Linked DNA regions of Schizosaccharomyces pombe. Changing the gene in region 1 together with any one later gene gives a genetic interaction. Each region holds a gene or a part of one and is shown in the gene's direction. Other genes may lie near its edges.

What was found.
Region 2: mutations in def1 (region 1) and ubp2 together harm fitness less than expected from each alone (positive genetic interaction), as found in Schizosaccharomyces pombe (one large-scale study listed by BioGRID).
Region 3: mutations in def1 (region 1) and ted1 together harm fitness less than expected from each alone (positive genetic interaction), as found in Schizosaccharomyces pombe (one large-scale study listed by BioGRID).
Region 4: mutations in def1 (region 1) and pdk1 together harm fitness more than expected from each alone (negative genetic interaction), as found in Schizosaccharomyces pombe (one large-scale study listed by BioGRID).

What each region holds. Positions count from the first base shown.
Region 1 is NC_003423.3:567,811-576,033, forward strand, and holds def1 (RNAPII degradation factor Def1), read left to right. Parts: upstream 1-3,127; 5' UTR 3,128-3,250; coding exon 3,251-6,142; 3' UTR 6,143-6,510; downstream 6,511-8,223.
Region 2 is NC_003424.3:3,484,607-3,493,375, forward strand, and holds ubp2 (ubiquitin hydrolase Ubp2), read left to right. Parts: upstream 1-2,587; 5' UTR 2,588-2,718; coding exon 2,719-6,078; intron 6,079-6,162; coding exon 6,163-6,228; 3' UTR 6,229-6,493; downstream 6,494-8,769. Other genes in the region: hrb1 (RNA-binding and mRNA export factor), read left to right, coding at 72-92, 130-459, 635-736, 776-877, 976-1,368, 1,450-1,896; bsd1 (heavy metal ion homeostasis protein), read right to left, coding at 6,977-7,792, 7,861-7,878; tubulin specific chaperone cofactor C Tbc1, read right to left, coding at 8,486-8,668.
Region 3 is NC_003424.3:4,079,076-4,086,174, reverse strand, and holds ted1 (phosphoprotein phosphatase), read left to right. Parts: upstream 1-2,669; 5' UTR 2,670-3,399; coding exon 3,400-4,692; downstream 4,693-7,099. Other genes in the region: alpha mannosidase Mnl1, read left to right, coding at 1-1,155; apt1 (adenine phosphoribosyltransferase), read right to left, coding at 1,745-2,227, 2,406-2,489; protein adg2, read left to right, coding at 5,225-7,099.
Region 4 is NC_003423.3:3,112,241-3,119,641, reverse strand, and holds pdk1 (serine/threonine protein kinase Ppk21/Pdk1), read left to right. Parts: upstream 1-3,132; 5' UTR 3,133-3,255; coding exon 3,256-3,459; exon of another isoform or gene 3,460-3,562; coding exon 3,563-3,799; intron 3,800-3,853; coding exon 3,854-3,963; intron 3,964-4,026; coding exon 4,027-4,197; intron 4,198-4,247; coding exon 4,248-5,181; 3' UTR 5,182-5,411; downstream 5,412-7,401. Other genes in the region: alpha-1,3-galactosyltransferase Otg3, read left to right, coding at 1-415; proteasome core particle subunit beta 1 Pre3, read right to left, coding at 1,015-1,423, 1,607-1,739, 1,792-1,874, 1,918-1,973; SPOM_SPBC1778.09 (GTPase-activating protein), read right to left, coding at 5,674-6,918.

The sequences.
Region 1 (8,223 bases):
TTGCTCATATAGACAATAAGCGCAAGATATATTAAGAGGGAAGTTCTAATTTGTCGAAAATGTGTAATAAATAAGTATCAGATAAGGATGTGAGATGTGATGGATGATATATTTCGTAAATGAGATTTTCGAATAAGTATATAGAAAAAAATGGAAAAGACAAAACGAAAGCAAACAATTAAAAGAATGAACACAAATAGAAATGAAAAGGAAGAACAAATATGCAGGCCCAATAATATTTCAAAATAATTAAATGCGCTAGAAACAAAAGAAATTTTGGAACTTCAAAACCAAAAGAATAACCGTTCTGAAAAGAAAAAGATTTTACTTCTTTTCTAAAACCTGTTATAACAAAGAATAACAGTAAAATACAGCATGTAAAGACTACTTTTACGCTTTCGAAATAGAAAGTAGTAGTTGTAATTATCGGAAGGGAAAAAGAAAGCTGTCAAGCGACTACACGCTACTAAGTCTCGCTGCTATTCAATCAGAAACGTACTTTAGTATCAATGAGGGCAAAACAATGTGTCCGTGCTTTGTAGCCAAACGTTTAAGCAGAATGTGCTTTTGGTGGCTGATGAAAAGTGGTGGATAATGAACTAGTTTTATTCAATGGCAACCCACAAGCCAACGAAAGTTCAACATTATATCTATTTAATTTACATATTTTTTAGAATTCTTTCATTGATAATCAAGAAAAATAAAAAAAGTAGGCTCACCTCTAGATACACAATCTAATATGCTTCGTAAATTTCGCAAGCTCAATGTTTATTTGGGATTAGAGATATCTTCATTATGCTTTAAAACAGTGCTTTTACATACTATAAGAAATTCAGTCTTGCCATTGTATTACATATAAACTGGTTTCCAATAGTTTCGAGAAGGGTCGATTTTGGAAAGGGTTGAAATCGGTTTAGTTTATGATATTTTCAATAATGTTAAAATACTGTTTGTCGTTTTAACTTGGGACTCGTCTTGGCTGATTTGAATAAACCACTGAAGTTTTTTGTCTTTCTTTTTTATTCCTCTGAATCGGAAATACTTTTCCCGATAAGCGTTTCGAATGAATAGAATTGAAATTGTTTTGTCCCTTTACTTTCTACTTATATAAAAGAAGACGCACTTCTTTTGGAGACATATTCTCAAACAACACAAAATATGCTGGATTGTAAATACTCAGTTTAAACACATATGAGAACTTAAAGTAAGATATCTTTATTATCAATTTATTTTATTAGCTTCACATGAAGGAATATAAATTACATTTATTTCAAAACCTGATTAATACTTGTTCGCAGCTTTAGGTATGTGTATAAATTTATTAAATATGCTTAGTAACTGTCTACGGCCACACCTAGGCGAAAACACCAGTTCCCGTCCGATCACTGCAGTTAAGCGTCTGAGGGCCTCGTTAGTACTATGGTTGGAGACAACATGGGAATCCGGGGTGCTGTAGGCTCCTTTCTTTTTTTTTCGGAATATTATTTTATTCTTACAATGTTAACGGCTTCACTGAATTTTTTATGCTGCTTTGTTGATGATACTGTAAAAAATAGTGACAAATAAAGATTTTGAAATATATCAAACCTATCTGTAAACATTTGAGAACAATTCTAGCGTACGAATTAACTTGTCCATATCTTGTTGTCATACGAATGCACTGTTTATTGTTCATCGTTGACAGTTTTCAATGTAAAATCAATTTTTTATTTGAGAAAATGGTTTCTAATGTGCCGCTTTTGTTAAAAAATTATAGTGCAACAATAGATAGATATGCTATTCCTTGAAATGTGGGTTTCTTTTCATTACTCTTTACAGTTTTCTGTTATGTTGTCGTTTTGAAAATGGACTCTTCACAAGAAGAGAGTATTGACTTTAGCAATTTAAACATAGAATCTTAGCACGTTTGATTTTATTATTTTATAATTAGTTAGTCATTTGAATTGCCAAAAATGGTGACTTAATTTTGGTTACTAACAATTGAATAAAAAAATAAAATAAAAATAAAAAGAAGAAAAATCAATATAAATTGCGAGATGATACTACTAAAGTTCACAGCAATTTTTTTTAAAAAACAACGAAAATTTGTAAAAAATGACAAAATTAAAGATGAAATAGTAAAATAATGCGAACGCTTCATCAAACCATTTGACACATTAGTTATAAGCATTGACAGAAACTTTGATAATAATGCTTTTAGAATTTATCTTAATATAACTAGGCGATTATTCAGCTGTACAATTTAGTTTTTTTGAATAAATTATAATGTTATTTTATCAATATTCTATGTTTTTATAACTCTACAATTAAATAGATATATGCTTTTTAATAGAGCATTCTAACAAGCTTTGGTGGTTTAGTGGTATAATGAATCGTTGCCATCGATTCGACCCGGGTTCGATTCCCGGCCAAAGCAATGTTTCTTGTTTTTATTGTTAATTTAATATTAGCAGGCTTCATATTTATTTTTTTAGATAAAGGGCATCACGTTTATAAGTGTGGTTCACTTGAACCCAACAAAGTGAATGAAGAGCTTCGAATGTTACTGAAGCCGCGTAATTAGAACGGATGGATTATTACTTGAAGCAGTAATTAAAGTTTTCATAAATTGACCAACTGAATACCCGATATTGCATTGCAAATTTCTAAACATACCAACGTGTTAGGAATCTGTAATAGCAAAGCATGGAACGAAAGGTGTTTAGTCAACTTGAATTTAGCTAAACGAATTGCACATCTTTTAACAGTATCGAAGAAATTGGGCAATAGAAAAGTTAATACAATGAGCTCTACTTTCATCATATTTTCATGTATTCAGGCAAGCAGCTAACTAGCTATTGTCTTAAGAGCAATAAAGATACACAACGGTAAATCGTTAAATACAATAGTAAACTGCACTCCACTACTATATAAATCAAGCTTTTAGAAAAGGTAATCGCAAAAATGAAGAAAAAGTAAAGTAAAATTTAAACAATAACATTGTTCTTTATAACGTTATAAGTTTTTCTATGTATAAAAATTTCAAGGAAAGCTATAGTTTGCACTTTAGCGCATTCACTACCACCTTGCTCTGGTATAGGCAATTTCCATTTAAGCAAAAGCACTATGCTGCACGACACCAAAACGCAGCCAGAACCACTACCCTTAAATAACACGAAAAATCTTGCATATCGTCTTGAAGCACGAATACACGTGCCTTGTCGATTTTCAAGACCTGTATTAATTTTTGTAAAGAAAAGTAGAATCAAAAATGAGTGAGAATAAAAAGTTTCGGCCAAAGAAGGTCGGAAATACCGAACAAGTTTCAGAAAAGCAACACACAGATACAGCGTTAAATATATCGCAAGATAATAAAACTTCATCCTCTTCCGCCAAGAGAGGAGCGAAGGGAAGGCGAGGCACCAAAGGAAAATCTGGCCCGGCAAATTCGTCTCAGACTAGTAATATAGAGGGATCAAATGCGCTTGAGCTCGAATTTGATCGTGATTCGCAGTTAAGCGTATTGCAAGAGCTGTTTCCTAGCTGGACGATTGATGATTTAAGTTTTGCTTTAGAAGAAGCGGACCGGGATTTGGAACTGACCATATTGCATATTACTGAAGGTCACGCCTCCAAATGGGGTGAAGTTAAAAAGAAGCCAATCCCTAAAACAAAGTCCAAACCAACAAGTCATGCTCCAGTTTCCGATAATGTCTCTTCCACCTTTCGTAATGCTACACGTAAATCAAAGAAACCTTCCGCTTCTAAGGATACTTCTCGGGGGGTTCGAAAATCAAAAGCAGGAGCTCCCTCAGATCCTTCTTCCGTTCATGCACCATCCTCTTTAGAAAAGCCTGCTGGTACTGGCGATCTTCCTTCCTCAGAAATTTCTACCAAAGCTCCTGCATCAACGACAGTGTCTTCTTCCGTTGATCCTGGTACTATTAATGAAGATTCCTCAATGAAAGATCATACTACATCTAATGAACAAGCTTCAGTTTTAACATCGGCTAATACCGCTGCTTCAACAAATACGAACGGCACCGCAGGCGGTACTTCGGCCTCAGCAAAGTCGACCAGTGCGGCTGATCAGGCTGTTGCATCTTCAAAGCCTATAAAGAAGGCTTGGGCTTCAGTTGCAAAGTCGAAGAAAAAGGTCACTCCCGCTCCCGCTCCCGCTCCCGAATCCGAACCTTCTAAACCCTCTATCGCTCCTTCTCAACCCTCTAAAACTAATGTTTCCGCTGCTTACGAAAAACCTGCTGAACTGTCATCCTCATCTGTTCCTTTCCCTCACAAATCCCAGGACTCTGCAACTCCCGCAAATGTTGAAACGACCCCCTCCACAGCTACCTCAGCTCCCAAAAAGAGTACTGCCCCATTTGCCATAAATGCAGTCAAGCCCGCTCCTGGGCTTTCCAACATCTCTTCTGCTTCCCTACCTAAGCCCTCCTTTGCGAAGCAAGCCGCTGTTGGCTCTCAAAGCTCTACAACTAGTATGACTACTGCTCGATTACTTTCTGATAGATTCCCCGTCGTTATGCCTGTTGCTAATACTGCTGCTATTCCCGAAAAGGTTCAAGTGCGTTTCGGAAGCTTGACACTTGGGGGTGAGGACAAAAAATCGACAAAGTCTTCTTCAGACAACATAGCACAGTCTGGACCAAGAAGTTCCTATTTTCCTAAAAAGACAGTTTCACCAAAGCCAGAGGCAAAAAAAGAGGCGAGCAAAGTTGCTGAATCCACCAAAATCCCAAAGAAACAACACACTTCAGCATATGAAAGCCGTGCTCCACAATCGAAGGTTCCCGAAAACTTGAAGGAATCTCATGTTAACGAGACACCATATCGTGGTTTACACGATGTAAATTTACCGGCCAGTGGAAACGCCTCTTCTGTCTCGGCCATCCCTCCTCAAGTATCAGCCCAAACGACTATACCCGCTGCATCCACAAGTGCTACAAGTGGCCCGGTGGTTGGTAAACAAAGTGCCGGATATGGCGGTATTTATTCTCCTGCTACACATGGAATTTCCCCTCAACCATATGCTGGTGCTAGTCTTATTCCTCCGTCTACCGGAGCTGCTTTTAACAACGAAACTGCATCTTCAAATGCTGGGGAGACAACTGCACTTCCATATTCTTCTAGATTTATGAATCCTGTGGAAAACCGCTCCGCCAATAGCCCATTCGACAATTTTCAACACATCGACCATAGTACTGAATTGGGATATGCTTCAAATACTTCTCAACAATATCAACAGACTAGTCATCCAGCATACACTACTATGTCTCCTATTGAATATGGTCAAGCTGCACCAGCAGCTCATTACTATAATGAGCGTAATCAATACTCACAATATGATAATGTCGCTGGTAGTGCGTCGAATACACCAGATGTGCACTCGGTAATGCATAACAAGGTTGCATCTTCTAATGCTACTTCTCTACCTGCTGCTGGAACAGCGACTCCTAGCCCTGTTGTTTCTCAACAACAGCCCCAACCTTATGCATTTCCTCCAATGTATCCTATTCCTTATGTGTCTTATGGATACGGTACGATGCCTTACAATAATAACAAGTTTGGACAGCCCCAGCAAGGATACATGTCTCAGAGCGGCTTTAATGATTTCCCTCCCATCTTTGGTGGACACAGCAACGTGTACAACAGACAACAGCCTGGCAATGTAAGTGGTATGAGTGGAACACAAACTAGCAACCCAATTAATAATGCCACTGCAAATACTAGCGGCATGACTGAGAAAGCGGCTGGACATCGTGACTCTGTGATTGGAAATGGAGGCGTAACCGGGGCGAACAGCATGTCAAGTACTTTGGGTGGTTTGTCTTCCATGTCAGGGATGGGACGTGCGGCTCCTGGTATGTTTATGGGTAATGTTGGAAGTTTTGAAAACCTTAGTGCCAATGCGGCCTCTCCTTATGGCTTACCTCCTCAACAAACGCCATTGACCAATGCTGCTACTCAGCAGACAACCTCTTTTCAAAGCAATGCTAACAAGGTCAACAATGCAAACAGCCAACCCGCTGGGTTTCCGTTCAACTCTGGAGCATCTACCAATGCAGGTAGTAATGGATTAGGAGGCTATAATGCATACAACCAGTCATTTATAAACCGACCAGGAGGTTGGTACGGTAATGCTTAAATTGAACTTATGATCAAAAAGTTTGATAACGTAGAAGTTGGAAAATGCTTTTTATAAGGATTCAAAAATAGGCTAAAAATAATTGCGGACAAGATGCTATTAATGGAAGGGTAAAATCGATTTTATTGGGACAATCGAATTTATGAAGTTTTTCAATATATATATGTGTGTGATTTATATGGCTATGTGGTCACATGTGTTTTCTGTTTGATAGTGCTTAATTATGTAGTTTGAAATGTTGCTTGTTCATATCATAACATATCATACCACGCCGTAATGTTGCCATTATATGGTAATTCCTTGTATGTTCATAGAGTATTTTTTTATTGCATTATTAAAACAAACTGGCGTTTTGGAAGAGGGAAAGGGTAAATAAAGATTTGATGTTAAGGTATTTGTAGGTGTGGGTAAGCAATGCGAAGTGGGATAACTAGTTTCAAGTAATGATTATTATATTTCCAAAAGTCAAGTGCTAATGAAACACGTTTAATCAGTTGGCAATTTAGGGGGGTGGTTCACTCGGCATTCCTATTTTAAACAATTTTTGACGGCAAATGTTAAGCGAATTCGCTAAAGCAAAGTGTAAAAAAAAAAAAGCTTCGCTAGTAATATATGCCACACTTCAGTCAACAACACTACGTCAACCCTATACGCTAAGTCTACTGAATAGAAAAACTTGATACTTTTATTTACATTGAAATGAAGAGCAAATTTGTATAATACGTATTATTGATTCTAGAAATATAGCAAATTGAAACATCCAAATTTAGCAAAACAGCATGTCGCTGTTGTAAAATTCTCATGAAAAAATAGAATGTCTAACCTTCACTACTGGCAAGATTCGTTCATGTAGATGTAGTTGAAGAAGAGACAGTGTCATACACAAACGTAGAAAAAGTTCTGAAAAGGAAAAAGACTCCTAGTAGATTATAATTCAAATCAAATCAAACCAATTAAATTCAATAGATCGATGTCTTGAAACATTAATTCCTATAAGGTTGAAAATAGTAGCAATATAACGCAAAAATAGCGAGTCGTAATAGCAAGTAAAATGGTAGTCATTATAAAGGGTTAACTGTATTTCAAGTATAAAGAACGGAGAAAGTTGGAGCAATGGCAATAACACATCGAGGAGTAATTTAGGAAAGTAGTGAGAAAGATGTTAGAAAGGAAATTTAGTAATTTGTAAGTAATGATTTCAGAACTTGGAACGTGAAAGGGAAAAAGATATTTTCATCATAAAGAAAAATTTGCCCATCGTGAAATAGAGAAATAGTGAGAAGAAAACCACCACCGAAATAGCGAGACCCGCAGTATGTTACTTCACGAGTCTCGCTATTTTAGGATTGCATAGGTTATCGGATGGAATCCAGTAAACAAATGGGTAAGGAAAAGTGCGATCAATGATGAGTGGGTTGGGTTACAAATCAATATAGTCAGGTGAAATTAATTCGTTTCTCGATATAAAAGCAATTGAGAAAGGAATTGGATAAAATTTACAGAGAATTAAAAAATGGAGACAAGAAATAAGTGAAATGGGAGTGAACGCTCTTGTAAAAAAGCTATTGAGACAAGTGAAACGGTGAGAGAATGCGTTGACAAATGTGAAAGAAAAGAGAAAAGGGAATGAATATTTATAACAAAAAAAGGTAACAGGATTATCGATGAATTTTGGGGAAAATTTATGTTGAATTGCATGACTTTTTAGAAATCACGCCTCGAATACCGTTAGACATATCATGGTAAACATGTGATTTAGGAATTGGCACATGTAAATGAGGTTGTTGGGTAGAGAGCGGATTTGAATGGTGGTAGATAATTTAGGGTAAATTTGGGATGGATAGAGTAAATGTGAAAATAGTATGTAGGATGGCGGGGGATGCGTGCGAAAGAAAAAGAACGATGCGAAATGAATTGTAAAGTATGTGACTTGGGATGATGCGAAAAAAAAAGAGTCTGGAATAAAATTTGAAGAAGAGAAGAAATACAGTAGGTGGGAGTGCAATGAATTGAATTGGAAGCGAGGAAGCGAACAAAATCGATGGATAACAAGTGAATGAACAACAAAGTGAATTTAGTTT
Region 2 (8,769 bases), on another chromosome or scaffold:
TACACTATAGAAGTCAAGTTGTTGGGATGCTTTAATTATGTGAAGATGCACACTCAGCTTATGCTCTTGCGATGCCTAAACCTATAGAATGGGTATGATAACTATTGATTGATTTAGCTGATCAAATAGAATGAATTTGATTCAGGAATGGGTAGTAAGTTGGATGTGTCAAGTTCCTTGAATTCATCGTCTTCCAATATGGATCGTGACAGATCGGAGTCTCCGAAGCGACATGTCAACGGAAGCAATTCATTGAAACGTGGCTTGCATTTTGATGGAGAGCACACTGAAAGAGACCCTCACTTGGGAAATGGCCAAAAGTACACTCAACAAGAGCGTCGCGTGTATGTTGGTAATTTGTCATATCAAGTTCGTTGGTTTGAGTTGAAAGAGTTTATGGGACAAGTTGGCAATGTTCTTAATTGTGAGATTTTGAATCTTCCGAATGGATTATCGAAGGTAAGTTTGCTTCATAGAGGGTGGGTTTCATGCGACTAGTAAATCATTGTCTATTTAAATTGTAACGTTGAATCGATCCAATTGAACGTTACTTTTAAACGATTACTTATGGCCTATAGCTTATCCTAAAATTTGTCGTATACTCAGATTGTGAATAGTCTAGCTAATATATCAGGGATGCGCGATAATTGAGTACTCTACTGCTGAAGAAGCGCGCACGGCAATTAAAACTCTGAGCAACCAAAAATTTATGGGCCGTCTTGTTTATATCCGTGAAGTAAGATTTTTTTTATGTCGCTTATTAACCTTCGTAAAGGATCGAGAACAAAATGCAAGATTTGGCTCCTCTTCAGTATCGCCTAGCGCGTCGTCGAATGGCAAAGATTCTGAGCCAGACAGGCAATTGTTTGTTGGTAACGTAAGTTCAATTTCTAATCCTCTATATTCTTTTCCTCGAACTTTGGTATTTTAATGAATTGTGGAATTGCAAATAAGAAATGGTACTAACGAGTATAGTTACCGTATAACGTTCGCTGGCAAGATTTAAAGGATTTGTTTAGACAAGCTGGTTCTGTTATCCGAGCTGATATCCAAATGAACCAAGAAGGCCGATCCCGTGGCATTGGGATTGTTGTCATGAGTTCGATGAAAGAAGCCATGCATGCCATTCAAATGTTGCATAACACTGATTTCATGGGCCGCACTTTAGAAGTTCGCCTAGATCGGTTTGCACATCATAAAAGTAAGCCGTATTCCACTCATGGAAATGGCTATACGTTTCCAGCGGAAATGCAAATGACTACATCATCCACCTATCTACCCATGTTAGGTGCTAATACTCAAGTCGAGGATTTAGTTTATCATGCGTATCCCCATGGACCCTGCTCGGATTGCATTTACGTTGGAAATGTATGTATATAAGGACGCTTTTGTGGGATTAGTTTTCCGCATCATTTTAAGTTTTTTTTGGAGATTACTGACTGAATATAGTTACCTTGGGCCACCTCAGATCGCAATTTATTGGACCTATTCACAGATATTGGCTCAGTCATTCGTGCCCGAATCGCCTATGAGCCCACTGGCCGATCTAAAGGTTTCGGTGTCGTTCAATTTGAGAATGAAAATGATGCAGCATCCTCAATTGAAAAATTAAATGGTTATCGTTATGGCGGGAGACCCTTGCAATTATCATACGCTCACTATGCGACTCCACTACCTGCTGTCCCTACTGTGCTCTCGGGTCTTCCTTCAGTCGCTTATACACCACCTGTTATGCATATCCCTACAACGAATTCACCACTAACGCCCCAATCTTTTACAAATTCTTTCTTAGGCTATCTACCGATTTCAATGCCCGTTGCAAACATGCCCGCTATTGCTCCTATTTCTGTAGCTTTACCCGAAAATAATATTGAACATTCTTTGGAGCCTTCTTAAAAATTCGCCAATACATCTGAACTTCTTTTCTCTTTACAATTAAGCACATTTCCGTAGTGTGAATGGCTAGCTCAGTGACGACATGCGCAATGTTCTAAGGCAGTTATCCTAATATTGTTTGCTTTTCTCTATTTTTTCTTCAAATTTTTGCTTTAATTCCTAATCCCCAAATATTCTTATTTTCCATGTTTATAGATTTATCTCTTTTGTTTGATTTCAATTTTTTGCTAAGATCTTATTCTTTTCCGTGACACACCAAAGTATGCTGATGGCATATATATTCGTCTCTCGTTCTTCTAATTGAAGTCTTTTTAATTTTAGCTTTACTGTTTTTTTACAGGATGCCTAGTTTCCTTCTTTTACAATTGCTAACCATTTCATGGTTTTAATGATATTTTAGATTTTTAGACTTCCATTCTGTTAACTTCCAGTTAACCAAGTTTAATCTTTATTGATTAACTACATTATTTTTAAAGTAAGGTGTATTTAGGTTAAAAATCTTATTTAAGCATAATGGTAAATTTCGTATAGCGAAATGTAGGTGTTGATTGTTTCTTACCTTCTTTAGTAGCCTTATCAATGAAATACAAACATTTACTTCTATCTTATTCCCCACATTCATAAAATTGATGGTCGCATACCTGGCTGGCATATGTAAGACGACAAGCATCATACGCATGAAGTCTACCTACCGAGTCCTTTACTCATGAAAAATCCTTCAATCTGTACGTTCTTTCCGTTTGGACGTTTTTTCAAGTATTTTTCATAATAAAAAATTTAAATTTCTTTATTAAAATTATTTACATCAAACTATAAAGAGGAATGGCAACTGTAAAGAACTTGCGAATTGGCAAAAGTCCTAATCGGTTGATTCAAGATTTAGACGTCTTTGATAGTCCATCAGCTGGATGGAATGATCCTTGGAGTCCTCATAGCTCAAGATATCACTGGCAGCTTCATTCAAATTTAGGCGAGTCCGCTGTATTTGACGAGAATGACTTTTGGTGTGTTTGTCAAAAAACTCGCAAACACTTACATGTGAAAGTCCGAAGAGACAGGGGGAAGCCATTAATTGAAGAGCCTGAAGAAAATTATGGAATAAAAGATAGGATTCCTGTTTACTACGAAGAAGAGGAATTACCTGAACCTCATGTGACTAGCCCTACGAAAAGTGAATTCGCTACTACCTCTACTTGTATGAAATGGAGTAGCAAAACAACAAAAAGTGAAATTGAAGTTGAATGGAGAGATAGCTATCTTGATGCTAATTGTATCAAAGAGATAATTGATTCCCGACGTCCATCATTTGCTTCCCTTTTAACTAAAAAATCGTCATCTCATCAAGGGTCATCCCATTCATCCCAACCTTCTCTTTTTACTACATTTACTTCTTTGGAGTTGTTTTTACGAAACGTGTTGGTCCATAACGATCAACGTGCCATTAGCGCTGCCCCGGAAGGAACTTTTGAGAGACATGTCGGAAAGGGCCGCCAAATTCAATCTTTGATGAAATCTCTTCTGTTTGAATATCACCACGAAAATGTAAATTATGTCCCTACCATTGCGGACGCTCCCCTTACTGACGAACAAAAACTTAATCTATACCTTGCTAGGAATGAACTTATTGTTTTGGCTAATCACTTTCGTGACACTAAAGAAGATCCGGCTATTGTTGCTAACCCTTTTCCCGTTAGGTTGGCTCGACCTGCTTTAATTAATGCCTTTGGCGTTCCTAACTATGATAGCGTGGTTCCCATGTATACCACAGTTTTTCGCGACAATTCGGCCTCCTTACCTGATGATCCTGCTTTTATAGCCTTGGGTATCACGAATGATTATCCAGACAGCTTTGTCCGTTATTTCTATGAGGAACAAAAAAAGAACGATGAAGCTAATGTTCGTGTTTATGCGGATGCGCTTGCTCATATATACAATTTACGTAAAAGCAGCTTTTTGAGAGATCTAATTGCGGCAGATAGGAAAAATGGAATCGTGTCGAGCGATGTAATACAAGCCGCTTATTCGAGTTTAGGACTTGAAGCTGAGGTAGGCCCGGATTACAGGTATAGTCAAGAAAAAATCTTTGAGGCGTTTCATTCTGCCCTCCTAAGAAAACCTGAATTTGCCAGAGCTATTAGGAACGATTTGGAGACTATTGGCTATGCAAGAAAGAGTTCTGAAATTTTAAATTATGTTTTGTCTACAGAACAGGCTTTTTATACGGTTAATGAAGCCTACCAATGGTTGGGCATTAAGTCTAACACCGAGGACGCCATGGTAGCTTCTGTGGCCTTAGTGAAATTTGAAGATGATAGCGACAAAGCCATCGAGGCCGTCAAATGGATAGCTGAAGAGAGAAATAGCTCCATTTTGTACGATTTCTTGGCTTCACAAGGTAGACCTTCCAACAAGAAGCCTAAAGAAGTGCCTATGGATGAAGATCTAGCTTACAACACATTAGGTGTTCAAGATCGTGCACTATCAGATGACGTTTTAATCAATGTATACGGCTTTGCTGTTGAAGACCACCCAGAGCAATCAGACACTTTGAGAGCAGCTTTGAAATGTATAGGAGAAGTTAGGAATTCGCGTTTAATCACTCATTATTTAGAACATGGAAATCTAGATATTCCACCAGAAGTTTCAAGTTTGGATACTCCGATCGGTTTGGAAAATACTGGTAATCTTTGTTATTTGAATTCCCTGATCCAATACTACTTTATTATAAAACCTCTTCGTAATGCAATTTTGGATATTGATGAAAACAAAGATCTTAATATGATTGAAAACAAGGAAGCTGTCAAGAAAGTTGGTGGACGGATTGTTACTCGAATTGAATTCTTGAGGGCTTTACAATTCACTTATGAACTCCGAAAATTATTTATTGAACTCATTACTTCAAAGTCATCGTCTGTTCATCCTTCTTCAGTACTGACATATCTTGCTTTAATACCTCTTACGTTGGACCAGGTCAAATCTGGAACATCCTCGGTTATGGATTTGTCATCGTCTCGAGAGTTGAGCAATTTGAATGAGAGATCTATCACTATTGACCCCAGAGCAGAAGAGCAAGCTCAAGGGCTTGAACAAGAACAAGGACAGGATGAGGCCAAAAGTCCAGCGGAACAATCTTCATCAGTTAATTTAATTGATTTTCCCATGGCCAATACTAACGGAGAGTCTCAAACACAACCTCATTACTTTGAAGTATCTGAAGAAGAAATAAACTCCTCCATGGATTTAGGTCGTCAACAAGATGTCTTGGAATGTATTGATCACGTTTTGTTTCAACTGGAAGCTTCACTTGGTCGTATTTCCAACTCAGAAGATCGTCTTGGCTCTGATAATGATCTTATACGACGTTTGTTTTCTGGCAAACTAAAACAAACACTAAATGATGCTAGTCAAGGAGTACGGTCTAACTATGAGATTTTTTCTCACTTGATCGTTGACCTTTTCGAGGAGAAACAAACATTGTATGATGCATTGGATGGTGTTTTTGAAACAGTCAATATTGATATGGGAAGCGAAACTGCCCAACGATCCTTGTGTATTACTGAGCTACCGATAATTTTGCAATTACAAATACAGCGTGTCCAATTTGACAGGACTACTGGACAGCCTTTCAAGTCTAATGCATTTGTTGAATTTGGAAAAGAACTTTCCATGGACAGATATGTTGAAGATACTGATGGGAAAATGGCACCTTTACTACAAAGGTACTGGGATCTAAAGCGTGAAATTATCAACCTTCAAAAACGACAACAGCTATTGTTAACTACAAATTCGAATCTAATGTCATCTGTTGATACATTGTCTATTCTATCTAAATGGGCTGCACAGCAGCAGGATTCGAGACTTCCTATTAATCCAAAACTTCCTGATATCCTTCAAGAGGAAATAAACAATGTTGTCGCTGAAGTGGATATGCTTAAAAAACAGGAAGCCAGCTTAAAAGAAGAAAGGACGCATCTTTTCGATAATTACATCAGCCATAGCTACGACTTGCTTGCTGTATTTGTGCATCGTGGACAGGCTTCATTCGGTCATTATTGGACTTACATTCATGATTTCGAAAACAATGTGTATCGAAAATATAATGATGAATATGTTACTGTGGTAGATGAAAGCGAAATTTTTGCTGATACTACGGGCAACAATGCTAACCCTTACATGCTTACGGTAAGTCGTTATTATTTCCCATTTGAGGGAAATAATCATTTTCTCAAATTTTTTCCAGTTTACATATAGCTAACATTTATCTAGTACATTAGGAAAGAGTATCGACACATAATTGAATGTGTTCACCGTGAACACAATCTTCTGCTTTAAAAACTATGTGAAGGGTAAAAACTAGGATGGATCATCCGTGATCAATTGCTATGAATGGAGGTTGGAAGTTGTAACGTTTTTCACGATATTAAAGCATGGAAGCTATGAATTCATATTTCAAAAATCTATTTATACATAAAAATTTAGTTATACTTTATACATCGGTACGGGTTAATAATCTATTAGTCTTTACTATAAAGAGAAAATTTTTCTATGACAAAATTGCAAAAAGTCTAGCAAAAAAATTGAAATGTAAACAAACGGCTTTTATTATTAAAATGGCGATTATCGCAAATTTTATTATAAGTAGTAATCTTTGACAAAAAATGTAATTAATAGATGAAACTAGTAGAAGTTTCCAATAAATAAGTCAATAAATCACTATAGAAGTACCATGGAAAAAACATAAAAGTAGCTGTAGAATCAATAGCAGGTTTTAAGGTAATTTGAACGAGCTTTGTACAAAAATACATCAACAGTGCCGTGAATGTGCCAAGTTATTCATCAAAGAGAGCGAAAAGTAAAATGATGCGTCGTAAAAAAAATCAGGTAGGGCAAGATTAACTAATAAACTAGGTATTTAAAACAAGGATCATCCGCCCATAAACCGAAATAGAAAAAGAGAACATGTTTAAAGAAAAAATGAAAACTATAAGGGAAATAAAATCTTAACACATAAACGAAAAAGTAAGGAGCCGATTATTTTGTAAAGTATACGGCCGCAACTAAAAGAACCTATAGATCGTGACTAAACCACTTCTTCCGGAGACGTTTCACCAGGTGAGTCTGTCCGACTAATGGCATTCTTCATACGGCGTATTCTGATGAACCCAAAGGTGTCTACTAGTACCAAGCACCACCCGATTATAATGAGAATAGAGCCTATAAGCTTCTGATGTGGTAACTCGTCGTAATTGTATTGATCGTCGTTATTCTCCATCCCACTCTCCGAAATCATTATGTAGCCACGTTGAAAAAGAGTTAAACTAAGTCCAATTTGAGCACCATAACGACCCAAATGAGTCGTCGATAAGACATATGTGACAAGAAATCCTACAAAAGGAAAGAGAATAGCGACACAAGCACTCCATACAAAGGAGAAACCAGTTCCAACGGACATCCCATCAATGTAAATCTCGTTAGATCCGTAATCTGGAATTACCATAGTGGTATCCCAGTAAGGAGGGGCGGTATCCGCAGCAGCCTGTTCATAAGAAGGGGGCTCCTCTTCCAGTTCTTCAGTATTAGATTCCACTGTGGGTTTAGCAGATAAATTAGAGAAGACACTATCAACGTGATGGCCATCTGCATGATTTGATGAAGTGCTGGGAATTCGATCATTGCTACTACGTACATGCCCAGAGTCGTTGCCAGGATCCGGCGTTGATAAATGTTGGTAAAAAGCTTCTTCTCCTTCTATTGATGCTCTGGCAGAGCTATATAAAGGTGCTGTTTCACTGTATTCCACATCGTCGTCTGGAGGCTCGAAAGCAGCTGCCAATTCCGATCGATTTGTAGACCGGTTTTCCGGAAATTCAGGTATTGGAGTATGAATTGAATTTTGCTAAAATAGATTTGTTAGACTGATATATCAGGGAATTTAAACAGTATAAAAAGAAGGCTTATCCTTACATTTGAATTAGTACTCATGGGAATTGTGATATCTTTCAACCCGTATATAATGAGGTAAAGTGATTAATGAACGTTCCCAAAAATTTCCGTATTTTTGTTTTTTAACCCACTAAATGCTCTTTGATTTTAAATTAACAGAGTGGTGGAAGAGTACAGGATGGATCGAAACCATGGTATTATTAATGATCGTTACTTGCAAGTAACAACTATATTCAAAATCTGTAGAGAAATCAGATTAAAAAAAAAATATGGGAATTGAGTGTTTTAGGTGACATATCAGAAGCTAAATTCCCGTTATAAATTATTTTTGATATCTATTCTTTTCAATAAACCAAACAAGCCAATTGAAATCAATGGCTTGGGTTATAACAATTAGTGATCAGATATGTATTCCGACAAGAAGTGGTATAAAAAGTCGAAAATGAGAAACAAGGAATCTCAAAGGATTTACTGATATAATCGACTTGGTGGTAAGATGGATGGATGACATGAATGATTAGAAAGGCGTACGAAAGAATATTAAATTAAAAAAAAAAAGCACCAACGAGTGTATGTCAGTAAAAGACCAAGCTAAACCGTTACGTATTTTTACTAATGGATGATTTTGGTGCATACATATAGAATTTTAAGCGTCAAAAAGGTCACTAGTGATACGAAAATGTGGAGACGGGTCAGAGCGTGCCCAAGTAAAATCCAAAATAGGATGCTCATCTTTATAAGAAAAGGATATCTCCTTTGATTCTTCAATGACGGGCGATGTTTTGCATCGCAGGTGCACACGAAGGTTGGTAGAATGGTGAAGACGAAACTAGAAGGCGTTAGCGATATAATCAATCAAAAGAAGGGCCAGAAGGCAAAGTAAAATCAAACAGTAGAAAGCATTATCAATTTTGTTTACACAGCATTGTT
Region 3 (7,099 bases), on another chromosome or scaffold:
GTCGGTGAATTACTGCTAAGTAATATCGAAAACCACCTATGGACTCCTTGTGGATTTGCGGCAGTAGAGAATCTAGAAAAGTATACACTTTCGAATCGAATGGAAAGTTTCTTTTTGAGCGAAACCCTTAAATATTTGTTTCTATTATTTGACGATGATAATCCCATTCACAGAAGTCACCATGATTTTATTTTTACGACAGAAGGTCATTTGTTTCCCGTGACAAATCAAACACGACTGTCTACCTCTCAAAGAATTTACGACGGTGGAGAAGTTTGTGTTGCAGAAGATTACGACAGATCTAAATGGCCAATGTTATATTCGTTGATAGCATCTAGAGACGATTACGATTATGTCTCTCATTTAGTAGGAATTGATAACAAAGCAATACCCTCGTATCTAATTGATCCATCGGGTGTTTGCAAGAGGCCAGAGTATTCCGATGGTTTTGAACTCCTTTATGGAAGTGCACTTGTTAGTCCTATAAAATCAGTGGAACGTGTAACCAATAATGTATACATATCCGACATTATCGGTAATAAACTTAAATTCGTTCAAAAAGAAGGTTCTAATTCTCTGTTTTTATACACTGCTGGAGCTGAATCTATAAATGAGAATGACACGGTCTTCCTAACCGATCCGGATTATGAGACCTTCACAAGACCTGATGCATTGTACTTTGATCGAACTATTGCTCAGCTAGAAAATCCGAACAGTGGTCAAAAAACGTTTGGAAAATTCCTTCAATTTGACAACGATAATTCTTTACCTTCAAAGGTTTTTAAGACAGTCTTGTTAAATAACAGTATGTGTCAAAAACCCTCCGATACTCTCGACAAAGATACAGCATATATTGCTCCACTTGGCAACTGCTCATGGGTGCAGCAAGCAAAAAATACCAATAAGGCAGGATTGTTAATTCTCATCACGGATGGTGAATTTATTAATCCGTTAGAAAATATTCATTCTCAAAACAGTCTATTCAATTGGGTTAAACCATACATCCCTCCGACTATTCTCTTAAAAAATGAAAACAATTTTGTTTCTAAATGGGCCAACGTCTCTGTGCGTCAATCAGACTTTGACGCCCCTTCGTACTTCCAAGGAACTCCAGTTTCAAACCTATATTTGTGTCTGAAATGCATAAACAGCTAGGAATAACGCTGTTTTGTGATTTTTTATTTACGCATGTGTATAGACTTGCGGTCATATATGCTTTTTACTATTTAAAAAATATTTGTGCTGCGTGATTTCAAAGCCTATAGATGTTTATCCATTCAATACTTAATAAAAGTATATTTGGATAATTCAGCTTTCTCTTGTAATTATACTTTTAATCGAGGGCTATATTATAACGTGGATTCGTCAATAGGCTTATAATAAGCTGAATGTATCTACCTATTTATATTAAAGAAAAGCGTGGTATTGACCATTCTAAAAATTATACCCTTTATGACCCTTATAAGCTTTTCTCCTTATGATGTTGCATCCTTTTTTCTTTTTTTTCATTTTAAGATATCGATTTCCACCCGATTTATATATATTTGCTAACAAAAATCCTACTTTTTAGAATACTAGTTGAAAAATGTATAACTTATTCAATTTACAACTTAGACTAAAAAAATCCTAGCTTGACGAATAAACCATAGAAAAAAACCCAGAACCCTAAACATTTATAAAAAAGGAATAAAGCAAATATAACGTTAAAAATTAGAAATGCTTATACATACTTCGAGTTCATAGTTTAAGCAAATTCACTACCATCAGGTGCTTCATCCTGTCCAGTAAGAAGTGTATAAGTAGGAGCCATAAGACGCTTACGTCCTTGAAGAAATGTAAGTTCTAAAAGGAAGAGATGTCCAACTAATTCACCACCCAAACGAGTAACGAGTTCATCAGCAGCCAAGGCGGTGCCACCAGTAGCAAGAATGTCGTCAACTATTAAGACTCTTTGACCGGGTTTAATAGTACCCTTTTGGATTGCAAAAGAATCAGTAGAATATTCCTTATTGTAGCTTACGACGACCAAATCACCGGGAAGCTTGTTGGGCTTACGGACAGGGACAAATGCACAATTTGCACGTAAAGCCAACGTAGGTCCAAAAAGAAATCCACGCGCCTCCAAACCAACAATCACATCAATGTTATTGAATTCAGTTTCAACGGCTTCAAGCAAAAGATCGATAAGGATGCCAAAGGCTCTGGGATCTTGAAAAATGGGCATTATCTAATAACATTAGCATCTTATTGTTTATAATTTAACAGAGTATTTAAGCAATTGCAAGGCGTAAAGATAATATAACCTCTCGAATTGTATTTTGGATTCAAACTTCACGCTAATTGAGCAAAATAATATCACCGTTCCTATCCAACCTCGCGCATTTCCTCCTTCTATAAAATCTTACATCTTCAAACAAGATTCCCTTTTTGGGAAAATCTGGATATTGAACAAGTTTATTCTTAAGGTAATTGATTCTATCGTCGGACATTTTAGTAAATTGCTATGTAAAAACTTCTACAAAAAAAAATAAATACTCAATTTCCGTTACCGTCTATGCAGCGAAAATTTTGGACTGCTGTTTTCAAGTAACATGTTACCATCCGTTTAATGTAAAAAACGTCAGTCATAATTCACCTATTAATACTAAGTAGTGTACCGGGTTAACTTTGGCAGCTAAGACGAGCTCTAAAAGAAACGTTTATGTTTGAAATTCGACGCTCTTTTCCATTCCTTTCTTCGTGAAAACTGTCAGCCACAACTCCATGTTTTGAGGTATTCCTTCTTTAGTTTGATATACACTTCAAGCAATTTCAGTCATATCCGTTGTTCATCATTAAACAAACTTCGGTCAAGATTATTAGCCGTTTTTTGCTATTACATTCAGTAGAAAGCTTATTTTTTAATTTGTTTAAGCCAGTTATACTGATACACTTGGTATTAATTCAATTCAGAAAAAAATTTCAACGGCAAACATCGATACACATTTTTCTAAGAACCAAGCTTCTTTTTCAGGAATTTTGAATCAATCATTTGACCATTGATTTGCAATCTAAATTTTAGCAGTGGGTTTGTTCGAATACTGCAGCTATACCTATAAATTACCCATTTACTAGCTTCATGGATTAGAAAAATAAGTTTTGTTGTTTCATTTGTGCTTTTTGTTTTTCTATTCTGTTCTGCTCATTTCTTGTTATTTGAAAGCAAATCTTTCTAAAAAGCTTTATTGACACTTTTATGGTGGTATACCATTTATATAATCTAGTAAGTAAAGCAAAAACCAAAATCTTACGCCTCTACATTACTCGTTTAGTCTGCTCCTAAGTAAAAATAGGCACTCCAAAAATCGCTCCTTCTCTCCGTTCCCTTTTTTAATTTACGTTGACATAATTAAGTCAATAATGTTTGCAAGACATCCGAATTTATTATGGTTGAACAAACAACTGTCTATTTTACATTATCTTTGCCTAGTTTTTTTAGCTGTCTACTATGCCTATCCTCTACTATTTGGCATAATGCCAAGAAAGCTGCAACTCGAAGATGAAAATTCTTTTGTTATTATGGGGGTTGCTGATCCTCAGATTGAAGGGAATCATAAAATCGAAGCAAATGGATTTTTTAAAGGCACTTTAGATCTTTGGGGGAATGATTTGTTTTTACGACACCTTGTACATATGAATCAGTTTTGGGGTCAACCAGATGCGATGATTCTGTTGGGTGACTTGGTCAGTTTTCAGCACTTGGATAACGAAGAATTCAACAAAAGAGCTAAAAGACTGAAAAAAATCACTGGGGCAAAAAACTTTTGGCAAGTAGGAAACTCCAGTTTACCAGCACGTACTTTTGAAAACGGTAACATTCCCGTTTGGACGATTGCGGGTAATCATGACATTGGCTATGGCTGCGAAAGTTCAGACGCACAAATTAGCAAATGGGAACAAGCTATGGGCCCGGTAAATTGGGTTTCGCACTTCAATGTTTCTAAATTTCCTGTCCGTGTGATCGGCATAAATAGCCTTTCGCTTGATGATGTTCAGTTTTACGATGCGAACCCTAGCGATATTATTAACAGTAAAAGTTTTTCATCATTAGGTATACTTGCTCTTTCAAAAGAAGCTAGGGATGCTTGGCAATTTCTTTTCGACATTGCTTTAGAGCCGTCTATTCCAACCATACTGTTCACCCATGTGCCACTCTACAAACCAGCTAATGTGTGTGTTGACGAACCGAGAATCGTTCGTCAATTGGATTTTCGGGTCAAGTCTCAAAATCATTTATCGTATAATACTACTATGAAAATTTTTGAATTGATTCCTAGCATCAAATTGGTCCTTTCTGGCCATGATCATATGGGTTGTGACTACGAACACCCGAACGGTGCCATCGAACATACATTACCCAGCGCAATGGGGTACTTTGGAGGAAATATTGGTTTTGTCAAACTGATCGCGACAAATGATGTTCTTACAGAGTCCTCCAAGAACACACCCTCGGTTGTTACATTTCTGATTCAAAAACTCATTGGCCAACGATGGAAGAAGGCTTCATTGAAACAGTCAAAATTCAGTTCCGACATATATGCCACTTATACCTTGAGTCACGGAGGACCATCTTATATTTGGTGGGCTCTTCACATATCGGTATGCGTACTTACCATCTTACGTTTATTGGTAATATCATTGCAACATATCTAACATTGTTGTGCACTAATTGTTCAAATGAACAGTTTTATATTTACACCAGCCTCTTAAACAGGCAATATATCCAGCCTTTAGGTGAATTTGAGAGAAACCAACCTTTTTTACCAGCCATTCTGCTGGTTTTTAACCAAGAACCTGCAGATTCATTGAATTAACGTGGTGCCTTAATTACATTTAACGTCATTTTTGTACTTTCTTGCAGTAGTGCTGGATGTTTATTTACACAAAGTCGACCAATGTTACCATAGTAACGCGACCCAAGAATGCGTTATCTAATTTAGGTGCAAATATAAATGTCTCTCTGGAATCCACAATTTTTCGATTGTTTTTGTTTACATCGATACAGTTTCCAGCATTGCCCCACTTTTGAGCATTAATACACTTAGGTCATATCAGAAACCCAAGTGCTATATTAAGTCGCCTTTCTCGCTTACTTTCTTTCCTTAACCATCTACTTTTAGTTGGGTATTCGTCTTGCTGAAGGCCTGTGCACTGCCAATTGCCGAACTAGGGATTTATTTGAGAAATGAGAAGATTAACCATCAGCGGGCTATTAATTAGCTTAGCCAAGCTTTGTGCTGGCATGGAAATTAATGTTCCTTCTTCTTCAGACGTTTGGACTAGTGGACATATTGAACCCTTGGAATGGAGTGTGGTCAGCACTGATCCCCTGCAGGCTAATGTCTGGTTAATAAACGAAGTTGAGTATCCACCAACAAGCCGTTACATAATGACCATCAATACTTTTGATGAAAATGCCACATTTCCTGCTTTAGATCTTTCGCCAGGTTATGGCTACCAAATTAGTTTTACGTCTATTCGCGACGACTCTGTTATTTACGCCCAATCTGGTACTTTTTATATTGTTGGCGGCGAAGGTATCTCTTCTACTACTGGTAGTACTTTTCAAAGCATGACTACCTTCACTAGTTCACAAACCAACAGTGGTCATGCTTCTGCTAGCACTTCTATTCCAAGCACTGCTATAACTGTGACAGCGAATTCTACCATTTATTCATCTGCTACTTCTAGTTTTCCATACTCTACAGACGTTAGTGTCTCGACAGGCACATCGACCGACATTGTAACCTTACCTCCGCCAGCGTCGAGCACTTCTTCGTTTAGCACCATTACAAACACGTCTATGATTCCCAGCTCTTCATCGTTTACTACTACTACAGGCTCTCCTTATTATAACACATCTAGTTTCTTACCTTCCAGTGTTATATCGTCTGCCAGCCTGTCTTCATCATCTGTTTTGCCAACGTCTATTATTACATCGACTTCCACACCCGTTACAGTCTCTTCTTCTAGTCTCAGTAGCTTCACTCCTTCCTATAGTACTAACCTTACTACTACTGGAAGTACCACTACCACTGGTTCGGCAACTGTTTCCTCATCACCATTCTATTCCAACAGTAGTGTCATCCCTACCAGTGTACCATCAAGTGTTTCTTCTTTCACCTCCAGCAGCAGCTCATACACTACTACGCTGACTGCTTCAAACACTTCTGTCACATACACTGGTACTGGTACTGGTTCGGCAACGTTTACCAGCTCCCCACCATTCTATTCTAACAGTAGTGTCATCCCTACCAGTGTACCATCAAGCGTTTCTTCTTTCACGTCTAGCAATAGCTCATACACTACTACGCTGACTGCTTCAAACACTTCTATCACATACACTGGTACTGGTACTGGTTCAGCAACGTTTACCAGCTCCCCACCATTCTATTCTAACAGTAGTGTTATCCCTACCAGTGTACCATCAAGTGTTTCTTCTTTCACGTCTAGCAATAGCTCATACACTACTACTCTGACTGCTTCAAACACCACCGTTACATTTACTGGTACTGGTACTGGTTCGGCAACGTTTACCAGCTCCCCACCATTCTATTCTAACAGTAGTGTTATCCCTACCAGTGCACCATCAAGTGTTTCTTCTTTCACGTCTAGCAATAGCTCATACACTACTACTCTGACTGCTTCAAACACCACCGTTACATTTACTGGTACTGGCACTGGCTCAGCAACCGCTACTAGTTCTTCACCCTATTATTCTAACAGCAGTATTATTGTTCCTACTACCGTAAGTACCAGTGGATCTGTTTCCTCCTTCTCTAGTTCTCCTTCTCCTACATCCTCATTTTCTGGTACTTCGGCTCTTAGTAGCTCATCTAATGAAGAAACAACTACCACCACCCAGGTTACTTACACTACGTCTCCCGAAGAGACTACTACTACTATGACTACTACCACATGTAGTTCCCGTCCCGAGGAGACTATCTCTACTGTTTCCACCACTTCTACTGTCTCTGAGAGTGGAAGCTCATCGGCGAGTATCACTTCGACCTATCCTAGTAGCACTCTTTCTATGACTACTTCTCATTTAAGCTCTTCC
Region 4 (7,401 bases), 2.5 Mb from region 1:
CTCAGAATTCTATCCATATCTTCTTGGCGCATGTGACGATCGTAACCCTGGACATGCGACGCCCCCAGAAGAATCTGAAACTTTTAATGCCGGGCTGATGCTTGTTCATCCCAGTAGTCTTCATATGCATAGGATTAAGAAGATAGCACGTTATCCTTATATGTATGACGATGCTAGAATGATGGAACAAAGTTTATTAAATCTTGCTTATAATAAATATGGTTGGTTTCCCTGGACGAGGCTCGATTTTTCATATAATGGAGTTTGGGTCACCGAAGAGGACTTACCCTATCTTCGTGCTGCTCATGGTAAATTTTGGGAATATGACAACACGGAGTTTCCCCAAATTTTGACTGCCGAGTGGCATAAAGCGTTCGGAGAGTTGCTGGCTTTTCATGACTATGTTGTAGAATAAAAAATGAAGGGGGGCGTTTATCTTTAATGTTTTCATGCTTCATTATTTTTTTGTCCCACTTCCATTCCTTGACCTGTAACTACGGTGTACCTGTTGAAGAGCTTAATACATATCTCACCGTGTATATTCTTACCGTTAAAGTTTGTTCTTTTCACATAATTTCTGCATTCAATTTTAAACAAAAAAAGACACATCATATTTTATTCTTCTTTAGAAGGGTCTACCGGTGTTCGGACTAATTTTATATTTTACATGGCTGATTACAATTTTCTTGTATGAAGCTGATAATCAAAATTTTAAATGTGCTTGCAGGCATCTTACAACATTTTTACTCTTATGACAATTACATAGGACTCATAACAATAATATTCTTTCACTATCAACAATATAACTACACTTCGGTAGTTAACTGTAACTATAAAAAATCTTTCTATTTTAATCATCACAAAGACTTATCTCACTGACCAGAAAAGTAACTTTTCTTCATGACCTTGCACTCCAAAAGCTACAAATAATGAGACAGGCATTAATAAGGTCAAGTCTAGCATAAGCATTGGGTATCAGTATAGTCACGTAAAATAAAAGGAAACGTGAAGTACTTAGTGAGTAAATACGGGAATAGGGTTAGCAGTATCAATGGCAAAAAATTTACGCTCCATTCCATCTTTATTTAAAATGACCATTCGAATGGTACCACCACTGCTGCCATCGCGTTCCATGGCTAAAGCAACAGCGTTCTTTAAAAATTCAACAGCCTCCTCTTGGGTCATATTTTCGCGAAAGTTAGCATCGCAAAATCCATAAATAAAAGCAGAACCACTTCCTCCAATAGCTAAAGGTTGCTTATGCAAACTACCACCTAACGGAATACTGTAAACATCTCCCCCAGTTTTTTCATCATATCCAGCAACAATTAAACCTGCACTAAGCATATTTTTGTTTTGATAACACATTTCAGAAGCTAAAGTAGCAGCTGTATGAACACTAGGGTCATGGCCAAATTGAATACTTCATAATCGTTAGATAATTTTTTTAACAACAATAAAATGAAAAATAAAACATGCAAAAAGGCTTTAGTAATCATCTAGTAAACATAAGGACTTGAGAGTAAGTCGATAGTTTATTCTAAAGGATAAACCAGCTAAAGCAGCCTTAATTTACAGTCATTCGGTTCATTCAAGGGTAACTTACCGATACATGGAAAGATAGTATTTTAGAAGATCAGCCACAGTTTGCGTATCAGCAGCAGAACCACTGCGACAGCACCAAATATTGTCTGTCAGCTGAGTCAGCTTATCAGTGACACGATTTGCAATATATGCACCTAGCAACGTTAGAAATCAAAGAACGAAAAGTTCTGATATTCCAATACACACCCATAGTTGTTCGAGAATCTGCAGCAAGTATAACGCCATCTTTATAACGGAGCGCCGTGATGGTGGTACCCATACGAATTTCTCTACAAAGTCAGAACTTTCAAAATCAATTTCCCGCAATCATACCCCTTTTTAATAGCATTAATGTCAACATTCATAGTATCTTTCACAGTAGTGGCCATTTTCAGAAGTTTGGTGAAAGGTTAAAATGATTAGGGACTTGTGTATGGTATTGAGAAGCAGCCAAAATTTAGGTAACATTGCTACCTGCATATGAAATTGCAGTATGAATATAAAAAATTGTTATTCAATTGTAAAAAGTGTTGAAAGAATTCGTATATTTTTTAAGAAATTCTTTAACGACTATAGATAAGGGTATAGTATTAAAAATTTTTGATCAAAAGTTACAGCCGACTACAGAGTTATAACCATGGATTGAACTTGAAAGTGCTCAGCTAGAAATTAACATAGGAAAGAATGAAAGAATCTAAAAGTTTGGGACTAAAAAGGTTTCTGAAGATTTTGTTTTCTTAATATTTGACGACTGCTTATATTTGGTTTACTTACGCAAATAACATGAAAAAAACCATAGCTATTGAAGAATGAAAATAATATGACCATGATCTTTTAACAAAAAATGAAGATATTGGAAGTTCGACCTGGAATGATGTATATATATTTACGAGAATTTCTTACGACGGATCTTCTAAACTGTGAATTAGGTATCATGTTATGTTTCATTTCTAGCGAAGCAGAATTCCAAGCAATATTGAGGTGATAGGGGATGTTCCAAATTCTGTTAATCGCCAAATTAATTTTGGAATTAAGGCAAGAAGCATTTCATTAACTACAGTGTATTTTGCTTATTTTAGTAAGGCAGTATCCCAAAGACAACTGGCTTTCTAAAAATCTCTTTTGTTTAGGTGTCTGTTATTTCAACAATATGTACATATATATATTTATTTATAAACTATTTCAAACATATTCAAGCAATTTATTGCTTTTTAGAGCGAATATCGCCATGGATAGCTTAGCGTGAGCTTAAAACATTGAATTAAAAAAATTTTCATTGCCGTTCCAAATTGTATCGCTTTCGCTAATGCTATAAACACCCAAAGCAATTTTTTTGTACTACCATCTTCAGGTCATATCGAAGTATCATTAATGCGATGTAAGACTTTGATGGGTATGATAAGGCTATCAAGCTGCTTAATGAGCATTTTTTCTTTGACAATTCGACCTTTAATTTATTGTTTACATGGCATATTCTACGTTTTAAATTTATGTAATAATGACGAGGATTGGAGAAATAGGGTACTCTACTTAGTGTTTACATCCTTCACAGAACACAACTCCAAGGCCAGCAACTCCACAATTAAATGCACGGTGTTTCAGTTGGAATCGAACAGCAAACGTAAAGTAACTCAAACACAACTTCATTTTTCATGAAAACCTCTTTTATAAATGATGGATCTGGAGCATAAACGCATTAGCCGAAGTACATTGCCGGATTATGCGGATCCCGATTACTTCGAGGCTAGAGGTGAAAGAAATCCGGTAAAACCTCAGTCTTCCAACGTAGTACCAGGAACAAGTCATATAGGATCGATCAAATCTCCGGCGGATTACGTTTTTGGTGACATTATAGGAGATGGATCATTCTCAAAGGTAAGTTGATACATTGCTTCTCAGTTCAGAAGTTTTTCAACCGCAGGTCGATTAACCTATGGACCTTCGATTACTGACGAATAAGTTGTCTAATATTCGTTAGGTGAGAAGAGCAACTGATAAAAAGAGTTGGAAGGAGTACGCTATCAAAGTCCTTGATAAAAAATATATTGTCAAGGAAAATAAGGTTAAGTATGTGAATATAGAGAGAGATTCTATGATGAGACTTAATGGGTTTCCTGGTATCTCTCGTCTTTTCCATACATTTCAGGATGATTTAAAACTTTATTATGTGCTTGAACTTGCACCCAATGGTGAACTTTTGCAATACATCAAAAAGGTATATTTTTTCATTAGTCTATTCATTTTTCCTTTATTAACTAAGCTTTGGTAGTATCGTTTTCTTGATGAGAATTGTGTGCGCTTTTATGCTGCTGAGATTTTATCAAGTATCGAGTATATGCACTCCTGCGGTATAATTCACAGAGATCTCAAGCCAGAAAAGTATGTTTGAGTAGTGGTCATTAAATGTTCGTTTCCTTTTCCTAATTCTAACCTATTTTTTAGCATTTTATTTGATGGAAATATGCATGTAAAAATTACCGATTTCGGCACAGCCAAAATCCTACCCCCTAAATATGTAAATAGCCCTGATTACACTACCTTTCCAAGCTCCTTTGTTGGCACTGCGGAATATGTTGCTCCTGAACTATTGTCTAGACAAGTTGTTTCAAAATCGTAAGAAAACCTATTATCCCAGTCTATTTTTTTTCTGACAAATATTTAAGTTCCGATTTATGGGCTTTTGCGTGTGTTGTTTATCAAATGATTGTTGGTTCCCCTCCTTTTCATGGCAGCAATCCTAATAATATTTTCAAAAAGATAATGAGCCTGGAATATGAGCTTCCAAAGCTCTTACCACCTGATATCGTTCCTTTGTTTAGCCATCTTTTCCGTATTCAGCCATCTGATCGATCTACAACCCAACAAATAAAACAATTTCCTTTTTTTGCTACTATTACTTGGGACAATTTATGGACTCAAGATCCTCCTCCTATGCAGTCATTCCGGCCTAATTATAACATAGCCATTCCTAATGCTCCTGCTTATTATCGCTCAAATGTGACAGCCGCAGCTGCTGCTAATGCTGCCGCGGCATTTGCTTCTGCATCCATTGTAAAGCATCAGGAAACTGCTCGACGTCAGGAGCTTCCTACGGTAAATCGTTTCACTGCTCCAACTGCTCATTATGGCTATGCTTCACTTCGAAGCCATCAGATGCCTGTTGACAGACTTTATTACAAGTTGGTTCCATCGTCTGAGTCGATCATTGAATCTACCTCGGTCTTCGTATCACCCATTCCAAGTGTACCTGAGGGTAATAAGTTTCCATCTGGACTCTCAAAAATGTTTTTGAAAAGAAAGCAAAGGGTTATGCTATTAACTGATGTTGGTCGATGCGCTTTTGTTTGTAAAGGAAAACATGAGAGACTTTTTATCGAGATGGAGGTGAACTTGAAGGATTCCAGTGTTGTAGTGATTTTTGATGAAAATAGTTCCAAGCGATTCTTGATTGAAGATAAGGTCCAGTCCTGGATAATAGAAGACAGTTCCGGGGATGTCACCAAGTATAAAGACAAAATCCTTAAGTTTGCTGATGTTGCGTCTTCTCATCAATCTCGTTCTTCAGAAGAGAATGTAGAAGAGAACGAGGAAGAGTAACCCCATACCTTGTTTTATTTGATTTTTCAACCCATTTACTACCTTCTTTATATTTTATTATTTGTCGTCAGTGTTTTGGTAATATTTAACTATTTAAGCTATACATAATTAGAAATTACGACGCACCTAGGAAGTCGCAAGATGGAGAGGTATTATGTATACATATATATGTATAGTATTTATAATATATATACTTGAATTAATTTTATGTTAAAATTCCATTTCTTTTGGTGAGATGTTAAAATTATAATATTAGTAAGAAGAGAGAGTTAGATAGGATCGATTTAAAGCGCATACTCTTGATACCAATAAAAGTTTTGTGGTATCAAGGAAATAATGTTTATCAACGTTCCAAATTAAAACAGAAAAAGAAAATGATAAATGTTCAGGACCCATTATGCTAAGCTCTGTGATATCAATCCTCATCTTGTTGACATATGTTACATCATGTGGGCCACAATTAATAAAGCTATTAAAAAAGAGTTAGAAATATCAGTTTCTCTTACTTTTAGAAGAATTTTCAGAAGGCATTTTTTCCCAAAATAATTGAATTCTAGCAAGCAGGGCGTTATCGTTTTGAATGGGAATAACACCTGACAGAGCTTGCATTACTACTTCAAAGTCTGCATCAATTAGCGTGTCCCACATTCCTTGTATAACCGCAAGAGAAGTGGCTTGCAATAACCTGACAGTTTGACCTTTGCTTCCACCTAATAAAAACAGGAGATCCCATATACGTAATTGAGTATGGAAGGGCACGCATTGATGAAAAACAGTGAGATACCAACGTGTAGCAAAAGCAGATGGTTCTGCTCCAATTTCCGCCAGATGTCTGCCTGATTGTGTAAAACTTAACTCATGCTTAAGCATGTCAAAAGCCTTTAAAAGTGTATCAAACCCGGAAGAAAACAAGTCCCCCATGCCTCTATTTTCCAATAAATTTACCATCATTATAAATGCTTGTTCTTCGGGATAGTAAATGAGCAAGGTCGCAGCAATAGAAGCCATTCCTTGAACGTATCCAACACGAGGTATATAGAGAGCTACAGCATGAAGAACTCTAAATAGTAAACGTTGCCCTCCAATGTAGCGTTTTCGGAATAAGAAATGTGTAGCAGCTGTTCTGGGAACATCTAGGTCAATTTGAACATCATAGTCACAAATCTGCTCGTTCAATTGGTAATACTTGTCAATCAGTTTTTTATCAGGAAGAGAATCCACAAGAAAGGACCACCACGCAATAGATCGCCAACAATCTGGAATCCCCTTAAATGTACGTAAAATTAACTTACGAGTTTTTCGAAAAGAATGGAGCTGATTACCGGAAACGAGGTGTATTGAACACATCGATTTCCATTTTTGAATACGGGAAAGCTCTTTAGCTGATATTTCGTTGCGGTCATGCGACTCGCCGGGAACAACCATGAAGATGCTTTCATCAACGTACTTCAGCATGTCATCATGGCCGATTAATTTATTGCCAAGACGTTTGGCAGGGTTTGGTTTATCTAATGTTGGGTCTTTACTAACTTTATAGAACCCTAAATTATTAACATTAAAGTCTGAGCGATAGTTTCCGTAACGATCCACATTTTCCAATGACTCTTTTGTATCGATTTCTTGAACTTTTCCATTAATAGGTTCTGGTATATTTAAATTATTCTTGTCTTCTTGTAACCTGTACAACGACCGAATTCGTTGCAAATTGGTTGTTCTAGTTGGGGAAGGGTTTTCCATGCTCTTTCAGATATATCCTCAATTCCGTCACTCTGGAGAAAACAGATTACCTACTAAACTGTATTAAAATATCCAACACAGAAAGATTTAACAGGGGGGAATTGTTTCCGATGTAGTAATGTTTACGGTCCCAAAAGACCGTCTATCCCCATATAAGTCAGTACGTTAGATCCCAAAATCAAAATAACCAAACATGAAAATCTTTTTTTGACGTTTTTATAATTTTTCAAGCAATAAATGCATTCGTGCAAATGCTTATGAATTTGGTTCTCGCTACAAATTTATTGGCTCTATGTCATTTCCATTGATGAAAACTAGTTATAAAGTAGAGACCGAGACCCGATCACAAAACAAAAAAACGACACGCTATATTGCTTTACTGTAATTACATAGCTTTTCGCTATTTTGTTTAAAGAAAAGCTAATTTATCACTATTGATGCTTGACGAAATGCTCCCTATCGGCACATTCAGCAGGTGCTCAA